Linked DNA regions of Sus scrofa. The protein of the gene in region 1 interacts with the protein of each later gene in a pairwise test. Links are inferred from orthologs where the notes say so. Each region holds a gene or a part of one and is shown in the gene's direction. Other genes may lie near its edges.

Region 1 (3,606 bases):
GTGTGGATCCTGCTTCCCCACACTGACCTCAATCTTTGGGTAAATGCTGTCACGTGCCTCAGTGTCCCCAGTGGTGACTGGAGGGTGTGCCAGCTTCCTGTTGCTGCTGTAACAGACGACCACAGACCAAGAGGCTTAAACAGTGCAGTTTACCACCCGACCGTTGTGGAGGTCACACGTCCACCAGGGGCCTCACCGGGCTAAAATGAAGGGGTGGGGAAGGAGGGCTGGTCCTGGGGTGGGGGGCGGGGAGGGAGGAAGCCGCGTTCCCTGCCGTTTCCAGCGTCCAGAGGCGCCTGCCCTCCTTGGGGGGGGGGGGGCTCCTCCATCCTGGCCATCCCTTCTGACTCCGCCCTTCTCTCCTGCCGTCGAGGACCCTGCGGTGACACTGAGCCGCCCAGGTCCTGCAGGACAGTCTCCCCTTCTCAGGGCCCTGCCGAGTCCCCTTGGCTGTATTCAGGCACAACTTCTGGGGCTTGCGATGTCAGTGACCGTGGGGCGCTGTTCTGCTCCCGCACAGGCGTTGGAGGCTTGTTTCGAGGATTCACGTGTTGGATGAGACAGTGGGCCACATCCTCAGAAACCCCCAGCACAGGGCCCCGCCCACAGTGGTCCCCATCAGAGGGAGAACGTGTTACCCACCGCTCCTCTTCCCATCCCCCACGCCTGCAGACGCTCCAGGGGACCTAGATGCCGTGCCACACTGGGCCGTGTGGGCACGTGCTCCCGGTGTGGTGAAAACCGCTCTCAAGCACAGAGCGGGGGGGGGGAGGCCCCCCGCAGCTTTGCAGGCTCTGGGGTCAGGTTCCTGTTGGGCCAGTTGCTTCACTTCTCTAAGCCACCTCTGAATGCCCCCTGGAGTGGGACACCTGGCCCTCCCTGGCGGGGCCGCCTAGGCTCCAACACAGTGACCCCCGCACGTGCACACACACCCCCCCGCCCCCGCCTGCCTTCTGACTCCCGCCCTCCTGCGCAGGTGTGGCCGGCGGCCTGACCAACCTCTCCAAGATGCCCGCCTGCAACATCATGCTGCTCGGCGCCCAGCGCAAGACGCTGTCCGGCTTCTCGTCCACCTCGGTGCTGCCACACACCGGCTACATCTACCACAGCGACATCGTGCAGTCCCTGCCCCCGGTGAGCCCCCAGCCCCACCGCACCTGCCATGCCCCACAGGGCAGCTCCCCAGGGCCCGCGGCTCCCCTGTGACCCCGGTGCATGGAACCCTAGAGGATGCCCCACATGGGTTAAGGATGCCACAGCTGATGCGCCAGTTTGGGATGCTGGCCGCGCCACTTCGCAGCTGGGCCAGAGGCCTGAGTGCTGAGCCTTGGCCTCCCTGTCTGGAAGCTGGGGGAGTGAACCTGCTTCAGGGGCCGCGACGTGGACTCAGTCATACGAGAAACACTCTGAGGGCAGGCCTCACACATCAAAAGTGATGGAAGCGTGAGATCGGGGTTCCCAAGGCCATGGTCAGGTTCAGTGACCCCCAGAAGGGCTTGCAGAGCTCACCTCGAGCTGATCCAGGTTCATCACGTCGTGGGAACCCAGACGAACACCAGCCAGGGAGAAGCGTGAGGGCAGGGTCTGGAAGCACCAAACAGGCACCACATGAGACAGGACACAGTCGCCACCAGGACGCCCAGCGGGGCCTCAGGCCTCCGTCTCTACCTGGCTCAGGCAGAGATGGGGTTGCCTGGTGAGAGACCCCACCCTGAAACACAGGGCTGCACGCTAGCTTAGCCAGGGCCCCCACCAGGACGCCCAGGAGCCAGGGCCAAGGCCAGGCCTCTTCGGGCAGGGTTCAGTTCTCCGCTGCGCTGGCTAACTGGGTTCAGTTCTCCTATCGTTGCTAACTGGGACTTGGGGGCTCATGTATCATCTTGGTATTTCTCAGAGCTCCAGCCCCTGCCTTTCAGGTACACTGATGGATTTTTTAAAAATATTTTAAAATACATTTTGGCTGCTCCTGCAGCATGCTGAAGTTCCTGGGCCAGGGATCAAACCCATGCCACAGCAGCTGCCCCAGGATTCTTAACCCACTGCACCACAGCGGCTACACTGGGTCCTGAACCCACTGCACCACAAGGCAACTCTTATTTGATTTTATTCATTTATTTATTTTAATTGTAACATGTTTTCTCAGTATTTCATCGTCTTGCCTCTGTGTTAATGCATCTCTGTTGTCTGGGGAGATGGGAAGGTGGGTGAGAGGAGACACCGACCGCAACATTTTGCTATTGTTACACGTTATTCCAGTAACGACAGCAGTGAAGACAAAAGCTGGTGTGGGAAACGGAGCCCATGGCGGCAGGAGTTCTGGAAACGGCTGTGATCTGATTGTATCTTCACGCTGACTCTGCCTCTCTGTCGTTGCTCCAGGATCTCCGGCGGAAAGCGGCCCGGCTGGTGGCCGCCAAGTGCACGCTGGCAGCGCGCGTGGACAGTTTCCACGAGAGTACGGAGGGGAAGGTGAGGGGCAGCCGGCATCTGTCTGCATGTCTGCGGTCTGGTGGGGGTGGGGGGAGCTGTGATCAGAGGACCCCCACCCCCACCCCGTCTGCGCTGTCCTGACGGTGGAGGTGGGAGTGTTTGTGCCCCCCCACCCCCAGGTCCACTTCCCCTGCCCCTGCTGTACCAGTTTCCCGTCACTGCTCAGCCTAGTGGCCTAAAGCGTTGCAGGGCTACTGACTTAAAGTTCCCTGGGTCCGGAGCCCGTGGTGGTTCACTGGGCCGAGGTCACGGTGTCGGCAGAATTGTGTCCTCGGAGGGTCGCTCCGCCGCCTTTTCCAGCTTCCACAGGCCACCTGCGCCCCTCGGCTCGTGGCACTTGCCTCCCTCTCCGAAGCCAGTGCGGCACCTTCCCGCCTCTGCCTGACTCTGCATCTGTCTTCACGCCTCCGACTCCTTTGAGGTCCCAGGGATTACACTGGGCCCCTGGGATCCCCCAGGATCGGACCATCTAGGGCACCTCCCCATTTCAGGATCCTTAACTTAATCACATGGCCGCTCATAAAATCAAATAAGAGTTCCCTTGTGGTGCAGTGGGTTAAGGATCCTGGGGTGGCTGCTGTGGCTGGGGTTTGATCCCTGGCCCGGGCGAGGTGACGGTTCATAAGGACCAGAGAGTGGCTCACAGACACCTTTGGGGGTGGGGGAGGCTTGCTTGGCCTACGACATGGGGGTCCGTGCCCTCCACCAGCACTGTCACCCTTCAGTACCCATTCCAGCAACCTCGCCTCCTTGGCACACTTGTTCTGCGAGGGTAGGTGTTTCTGTCTTGTGCACCTTCGTCTCCCAGGCTCCCGGCCTGGCACAGCGTTGAGGGATCTGGTCTCGCTCTCTCTGACCCCCGGTCTGGATGCCGGGGTCCAGCAGTGCACCCGCAGACAGAAGCCCTGCCCCGCGACGTTTCCATTCCCGTTGGAGGCGGGGCAAGGAGACGCAGGCCGATCTGCTGTGTGTCCAGTGGTGCTGAGCAGAGGCTGGGGAGGTTGGACTGACTAACCACATGTCAGGGAGGGCTTCTCCAAGGAGGTGAGGGTTTAGCCTAGACCTGAGTGCCATCAGCCGGGAGTCCCGTGGAGCCTGGGGGAAGGGTGTCTCAAG
Region 2 (3,746 bases), on another chromosome or scaffold:
AAAGTGCATTCAAAATGTGAGAGGCTTTCCCTTTTCTTTTCTTTTTACCCGTTGAATATAATCCACTTAGTCCCCATCTCCAAAGCCCCTCCCAAATAGTGGCGGAGGTTGAAGGGAGCGCTCTGGGAAGCCCTTGCTGAGATACTTAGCGGAACTCTGTTCTCCACGTGGGCTATTTAGGAGGGTCGCGGTTTCCTCGCGTGACACCACCTCCTCCCTGGTTCTTCTCTCGCTGCAAACAGAAGTCAGGGTGACGAGATAGATTCTCGCTTGCAGTCCGAGGAGGCGCTGACCATGGTCCTGGCCTCCGAGCTCGGGATGCGAGAGCGGAGGACGACAGAGGGGATGCGCTGGAAGTGTACGCAGGGCGCGGCGGGGAGCTGTCGTCTAGGCCCCCGCCCCTCCCGACCCCCGGGGAACCCGCCGGCCTTCACGCGAACCCTCCACTGCACGCTCTGAGCTGCATCAAAAAAGGGTGGGGCAGCCAGACACAGCTGCAATCGGAAGCTGCCCGGGAGGATTTAAGAAGAATGGAACCTCGGCCCATCCCCTCCCCCTCCAACCAAGAGACCCCCCAGCCGGGGATAGGCCCATCCTTTACCCCTACCCCCACCACCCAGGCCCAGGGAAGCGCGGGGAGCCTTTGTGGGCGCACAGCCGCCCACCGCCCAGCCCGAGCTTCTCCGAACCCTGCACGGAGAAGGGGCGGGTAGGGTGGGGTGCTTGTGCACATGCAGGGAAGCGATATTCGAGGTGGGGCAGGACGGTGGGCACGCTGGGATCCTCGGCTTTTCACCGAGCTGGAAGGGGCGCGAGGGAGGGGCGAGCCCCACGCTCCGTCCTGTCTCGAACACCTCCGCCCCTCCTCCATACCAACCTGGTCGTTGATGTTCTGCAGGGCTTCCTTACCGGAGGCCCGCCGGATCTCCACCTTCCGGCCCGATTCAACAGATGGCTCCCCGCCGGCGCGCCGACCCTGCCGGGAGTACGGCGGCTGCGGGTCCGGGCCCAAGTGGGCGACGTCCCGCTGCTGAGCCACCACCTGCCCCGAGCCCCGGCCCACCGACAGCGAGTCGAAGTCGATGGTCTTGTTCTCCGAGGACCCTTCCACCGGGCAGAACATGCCACAGAATTTCTGTCGAGGCTTGGGGCTACCGGAGCCCAGGTTTTTAAAAAAGGCAGGGACCTCTTCGTCCTCTGCCGCCTTCCCGGATTGCTTCCTCTCTGCCATGGCTTGGGGGCTTGGGGAGTGTCCTCTCTGTCCGTTCTTTCCTCAGCGGGTCCCTAAGTCTGCCTGTCTCTGTGCAAAAATCCCCCCCGGCTGCTGCCTCGGCTGCTGCTCTCTGCCTACCGCAAGGTGTACAGAAAGGAACGAGGGCTGGCGAGCGAGCGACCCACCCCTCCCGGTCCCTCCCCCTGACCCCGCTTTCTCCCCTCCCTGCCCACGCCCCCCGCAGCCTCGCGAGCTCCCGCGAGCGGCAAAGTTGGGGTTGGGAGGGTGGCCGCTGCGGCAGCAAGAACCGAGAGGCTGCCAGTTACCAGCAGCGGCGGGAGGTGGGGGGAGGCGCGGGCGGGGCGGGGGCGGGGCGCGGCGCTGGGGAGGGGAGCTCAGCGCTGGGGAAGCTGGGGAGGGCCGCGCCGCCCAGACCCCACGCTCCGGAAGTGAAGCGGCCAGACCCCCGGCTAATGGATGCGGAGCAGAAAGCCCGCTGACCGCTCTCGGCCCCAGGGTAAGTATGGGGCAGGGCACGCTGGGGCGAAGATCCGAGGGCGCCATCCCAGGCCCCCGCTCCCCTCTCCCCGAACTGCCCGGCCCAGGCACCTCTCTCCCACCGCAATGCAGAGCTGGCCCAGGGGCGAGGGCCCACTGTGTGGAGGGTTCCCTCCCCCTTACCCGAGTGCGAGCTAATGGATAGGAAAAGGGGCAGAAACTGGTAGACTCAGGACACTCAGCGGGAAGGTAAGGGGCGGCACTCAGGACGGAGAAAGGATGGCGCAGGCTGCGCAGAGTGGTGGGGGCCATATAGGGCGCGGTCTATCCATTGGCCTTGGTGGGCTACTGGGAGCAGAGATTGAAACAAGTTCCTCATTTACTATACCCACTGTGGTGGGGGGCGCGCAGCGTGGCGGAGAGAAATGCAGAGAGGCATAGCAAATGCGGAGGAAGTCGGTATATATAGAGAGAGACATAGGTCCACGGTCTGTGGGAGTGTAGCAAAGAGTGTAGTCTGCAAATTCCAGCCCAGCGCGGCAACTTGGATGTATAGTGAGAGAGGGAGCAGACCGCTACACTGGCGCGCCGTATACCGTAATTGCGCCACAGCGCCAAGAAAAGCCCAGCAGAATGCATCTTCCCCCGCCCCCAACCCGGCAAAGAAGGGAGAAAGACATTCTTTGAAGCCCACTCCCCAAATCTCCAGCCCTACCCAGCGCCCAGGGCGCCCCGCCTCATTTCCCCGCCCTGCTGCGCACTGCGCCAGAACCACGGGGTTTCCTAGGTTGCCAGAAGCCTCGTGCCTGAGGCCTTCTTGCGCGCGCGGCCAGTGCAGGGTAAGGAGATGGGGTGCCAGCTGTGATGAGTGAAGAACTGTGTGAAATCCAGCAGGAGAATGAGGTATGGGGACATGGTGTGCATGCGCCAGTAGACTAGCCACAGCCACCACCGGTTTAGTGGGCATCCAGAGGGCATTTTAATGTATGCCAGTAACACAGTCTCTGAGGGCTCTTTATTACTTACACCTATCCCTCTGTCCTTTCCACGTCTCAGTCCCTGCCCATGATTGATTACAGCCCTGCCTTTCTCTCTTCAGTGGCAAAATCCTGCAGAAATGATGCCCATCCTTTGGCTGCTGGAGAAGGAGCTCTGGGCATGCTCACTAAGCTGGGTGGGTTGGACTGGAAAACACTCTACCATAGGAGTGTCGTTGCTGGGCAGAGTAACCAAAGATCCGATCCCATTGTCATCCCTCACCCCTGGAAGGGTTAAATGTGGATACCCTGCCTCTCCCAATTGTGATGGATAGTTTGGTAAATGGAGTTAAATTCTGAGGACAACCAGTCCCAGTTTGAAGATAAGCCCACCATGATAGGTGGGAAGGCATCTGGGGATGAGAAGGAGAGGAGGAGGGAGGAGAGAGGAATTTACATGTGCAGGGGATGAGAGAACCAGAGGCAGGCATTTGGACTGAGCACCAGATGTGCTTCACATTTGAATAAAATGCTTCCACACGAATCACGCCATTTCCTACTGCCAGCAGCCCCCTGAGATGAGTGTTTCATTGTCACCACTTCCCAGGATTCCAGGGTAGAAAACAGATGTAGAGGCTTTGCCCAAGGTAACTGTCTAGTTAAATGATCCAGCAATTCCAGTGAGGTCTTCCACCTGGAAGTCTGGTTCCTTTTTGACCTTATCCTGTCTTTATAGGAGAAAGGACAAGATTTTCACATTTTCCCCTATATTCAAATATTTCCATCTGTGGCTTTATTGTGTGTCAGGAATGTTTCACTCGCCTTTTATTTTTATTTTTTATTTTTTTTAACTTGAAGGTAGGTTGCATTGCAGGTAGAGACTGGTTTTGGAAGAAGAAGACACCCAAAGATAGCCTAACTTCAGCATGACCATTATTATGTAGACCTTAGAGCTGTTTCTTCCTGGGTACCCAGTGTCTTTTTCCACCTTATGTTTCCTCTATTGCAACAGGGAGGAAGGTCACTCCCACGTCTTAGAAGAGGAACAGGAGGCATGA
Region 3 (3,732 bases), on another chromosome or scaffold:
GCTGCAGCGGTGCTTTGGTCACAACTTCAGGTCTCATCTCCGTCAAGGAAAATACTTGAAAATTATACCTGTTCATCTACTTATGTTACTGCTGTACATCTGGCAGATTTATTCCTGCTACTTTCTTCATATGACATATGGCACTCTAGCTTTATTATTCTCCCCTTTGCGGACCTGGCTGACACTGGTGACACCTGTTCTCATTCGTTGTGTGTGGACACTGAACTCCACAGAGCTTGGAACCTTCATAGTGCAGTTAAAAAGCCACCTGAGTTCCTGAAGGCCATGTCTCATCATCCAGCTCTAGCCCAGGCCTCTGCCCCCCGAAACAGGCGGAAGGCCAATACTAGTAGGCAAGCTTCAGGGAGCTGCTGTTTCTTGGCCGCCTGGGAGGTGGGGGGATTCCCCACTACTGATTTCCTGCATAATGGACTGCAGGAAAAAAATCTCTAAATAATGCCATGATTCCTTCCTTCCCTAAGAAGGCAGAAGGTTGATTTACTTTTGTGAAGAGAGAGCCCTAATCTAGGAGATCCACAGGGCAGGAGCTGGTGTGTTTGGTAGTATGTGAACCCAGTGTTTTTTTAACGTTACCTCATGTAAAGTACCTAGCACAGTGTCTGGAACTCAGCAGGGGACAAGGGCGCCACCACTTGAGGGGCAGGGAACCAGTGCAAACTTGGGCCTGACCCTGACTACCCTTGATTAGTTCCTGGTCCTCTTTTCCCACAGGGTTCTCTGCTTCCTCTGTCGGAGGTGTTTGCCACTAATCAAATAAATGAATAATGAATAAGAAATAACTCTGCGTCGCCTTGCGTGTGTGGTCAGGGCCCGGCGCGGGGGTGGAGTCACGTCGGGGCGGGGCGGGCGGCTTCTCTTGTTGCCGGAAGCGAACCCGCATCCGTGACGCCCGGAAGTGGAGTGGCTACTGCTGTGCGGCTCAGGCGGCTTCCGTGGCAGCTAAGTACGCTGGCTCCCAGAGTCCTACTGGGATGGCGAATGCAGCTCCCCCTGATGCTCCAGTCCCCACCCTGGCTGTGCCTTTGGAGCAGCTCCGGCACCTAGCAGAGGAGCTTCGGTTGCTCCTTCCTGGAGTGCGGGGTGAGCTGACACAGTGGAGACGGACCCCCACAGGGACCGGCGTGGGTAGGGAGAAGCCGGGCCAGGGCGGCGGCGGCACCAGGGAGCGAGGGATGGGGGAGTCGGGGGAGGGGAGGGCGGCAGGGCCCGGCGGGAGCGGAGGAAATGGGGGCCTCAGGTAGCGCCGCTTACCTCTGCTCTTCCTTTTGCGGTGGCCCGGCCCACACGCCGAACCCACTAGTCGGCGAAGCCCGGGAGACTACCAAGGAGTTTAATCGGGAGACCTTTTGGAGAAGATTCAGTGAGTGCCTCTCTTGTTGGAGACTGCCATCTCTCATCTCTTCAGTTGTCCCTGTCCCTTTCCTTCCTGCTTTTCCCCGGCCTGTCCCCTCTGTGGGGATACCTCATCTTACCCATTCTCGGCATCTCTGAGGTTGAGATTTAAAACACTGATTTTTGGAGGTGTTTTGAGACGTCTAAGCCGGCAAGGGTGGAGAGGGAACGTGTTATCTTCACAGCCCGTCCAGCAGCTGCAGCCTTATCCGTTTGGCACTAACATACTGGCTTCTGCCTCCTCCTCTGACTCTTCCCAGATGAGGCAGCTGTGACAGTGTCCACGGAAGCCACTACTCTGACCGTAGTCTTTTCCCGACTTCCACTGCCATCTCCTCAGGTGGGCTTTACTTTTCTGGAATCCTTGTAGTGCCTCTTTATTCTTTAGGAATCCTTTCATTTTCTTTCATGTTTTACACTCAAAGCAAGGGATTTCTTTCTTCCTTCCTCCCACCCTCCCTTTCTCCCGGACTTCCTTCTTTCCTCCTTTCTTTCTTTCCTGCACCCGCAGCTCTCGGAAGTTCCTAGGCCAGGAATCAAACATGAGCCACAGCAGTGACAACACCAAATCCTTAATTGCTAGGAGATCAGGAAACTCCTTAGCGTGGAATTTAGTTTTCTCATCTGTCAAGTAAGATTGCATATCTTATTGACTTCATAGGAACATTAACCTCAAGAGTTCTCATATCACAGGAATATTCTGAAAACCAAGTTGTCAGGTGCAGTACTTGACATGGAGTAGGCAGCTCTTCTAAACATTGGTTCTTTTTTTGTGTTTGCTTTTTAGGGCTGTACCTGTGGCATATGGAAGTTCCCATGCTAGGGGCCAAATTGGAGCTGCAGCTGTCAGCCTATGCCACAGCCACACCAGATCCAAGCCAGTCTGAGACCTACACCACAGCTCATAGCAACGCTGGATTCTTAACCCACTGAGCGAGGCCAGGGTGAAACTCGAGTCCTCATGGATACTAGTTGGGTTTGTTACCACTGAGCCACAACAGGAACTTCAGTGAGTTCAATGAGGTTCAAAATGAACCTCAATATTGGTTCATTTTGAGGTTCATCCTGGTTATTTCCTTTCTGATAATTTTTTATTTTAAGCACTTGCTATTTACTGGGTGTTTTCAGATACATGATCCCTATTTGACAGATGAACAAGCAGGCTCAAAGGCTTCGGTTAAGGTAGATAAGTAGGGGTGCTAGGATTAAAATTAGGTTCTGGGATTCTCTTGTGGCTCAGCAGGTTAAGGATCTGGCATTGTGACTGCTGTGGCTCTGGTTACAGCTGTGGCAAGTGTTCCATCCCTGGCCCAGGAACTTTGGCATGCTGTGGGCCCAGCCAAAAACAAAAACAAAATAAATTAGGTTCTGTCTCATGTCTAAGCTACACCTATTCTGTTATACTACAAAACACCTTTTTTATATTGAATTATTTTTTATAATTAGTAACGATGAATTAGTATAAAATTCAAAAGATATCAAAACCTAAATTAAGTGTGCTGAAAAGTTTATATCTCCCCTCGCTTATTCCTTTTGTGTTATTCCCTATATATACTATGAATATACCCACTTAACGTGTATGTGCCTACTTCTTCTTATGGTAAAATATCTTAAACATTTTTCTGGACTTTCCTTTTTTTTAAAAAAATTTAACAACATAGCTTGAAAATTGATTTTTAGAAGTAGGTATAAAGTTGCTCAATTCTTTGTAATGGCTGTGTGATATTCAATAGTGTGGATATAACTATAGTTTATGTTTGTCTTTTTTTTTTTTTTTTTTTTTTGGTCTTCTCTAGGGCTGCACCTGCGACATATGGAGGTTCCCAGGCCAGGGGTCCAATTGGAGCTGTAGCTGCCAGCCTACAGCACAGCCACAGCAAAGCCAGATCCAAGTTGCATCTGCAACCTCCACCACAGCTCACAGTGGAGCAATCCTTAACCCACTGAGCGAGGGCAGGGATCAAACCCGCATCCTCATGGATCCTAGTCGGGCTCCTTGCCACTGCACCATGATGGGAACTGCCAACCATAGTTTATTTAACCAGTACTGTGTGGACATTTAAGCTGTTTCCAACTTGTAACTGTTATAAACAGTGCTGTTCTAAATTGCCTAACACAATCTTTGTTTATATCTGTATATCAGTAAAAATTCCTAAAAATGGAATTGCTAGATAAAAGAGTGTATGCTTTAGTGTAAAAACCTTGAAAGTAAATATTGTTGGCTGTGGCCAGGTATGCTCTATGTCCAGTATTTCTTGAACTAGTTAAACTTAATTTAGGAATAATTTTATTTTAAAATGGTGTATTCATTGCCTTATT

What was found.
Region 2: the proteins of PRPF31 (region 1) and PNMA2 interact in binary tests that used the Homo sapiens proteins (3 or more experiments, as listed by UniProt). The two-hybrid records come from large-scale screens. The link is inferred for Sus scrofa from reciprocal best matches to the Homo sapiens genes PRPF31 and PNMA2.
Region 3: the proteins of PRPF31 (region 1) and CCNDBP1 interact in binary tests that used the Homo sapiens proteins (3 or more experiments, as listed by UniProt). The two-hybrid records come from large-scale screens. The link is inferred for Sus scrofa from reciprocal best matches to the Homo sapiens genes PRPF31 and CCNDBP1.

What each region holds. Positions count from the first base shown.
Region 1 is NC_010448.4:55,997,984-56,001,589, reverse strand, and holds part of PRPF31 (U4/U6 small nuclear ribonucleoprotein Prp31), read left to right. Parts: intron 1-976; coding exon 977-1,134; intron 1,135-2,379; coding exon 2,380-2,469; intron 2,470-3,606. UniProt on the Homo sapiens protein: Involved in pre-mRNA splicing as component of the spliceosome. Required for the assembly of the U4/U5/U6 tri-snRNP complex, one of the building blocks of the spliceosome.
Region 2 is NC_010456.5:10,426,234-10,429,979, reverse strand, and holds the start of PNMA2 (paraneoplastic antigen Ma2), read left to right. Parts: upstream 1-1,590; 5' UTR 1,591-1,730; intron 1,731-2,465; exon of another isoform or gene 2,466-2,614; intron 2,615-3,700; exon of another isoform or gene 3,701-3,746. Other genes in the region: DPYSL2 (dihydropyrimidinase-related protein 2), read right to left, coding at 878-1,231.
Region 3 is NC_010443.5:128,266,658-128,270,389, reverse strand, and holds the start of CCNDBP1 (cyclin-D1-binding protein 1), read left to right. Parts: upstream 1-865; 5' UTR 866-992; coding exon 993-1,146; intron 1,147-1,321; coding exon 1,322-1,381; intron 1,382-1,673; coding exon 1,674-1,753; intron 1,754-3,732. Other genes in the region: TMEM62 (transmembrane protein 62), read left to right, coding at 1-280. UniProt on the Homo sapiens protein: May negatively regulate cell cycle progression. May act at least in part via inhibition of the cyclin-D1/CDK4 complex, thereby preventing phosphorylation of RB1 and blocking E2F-dependent transcription.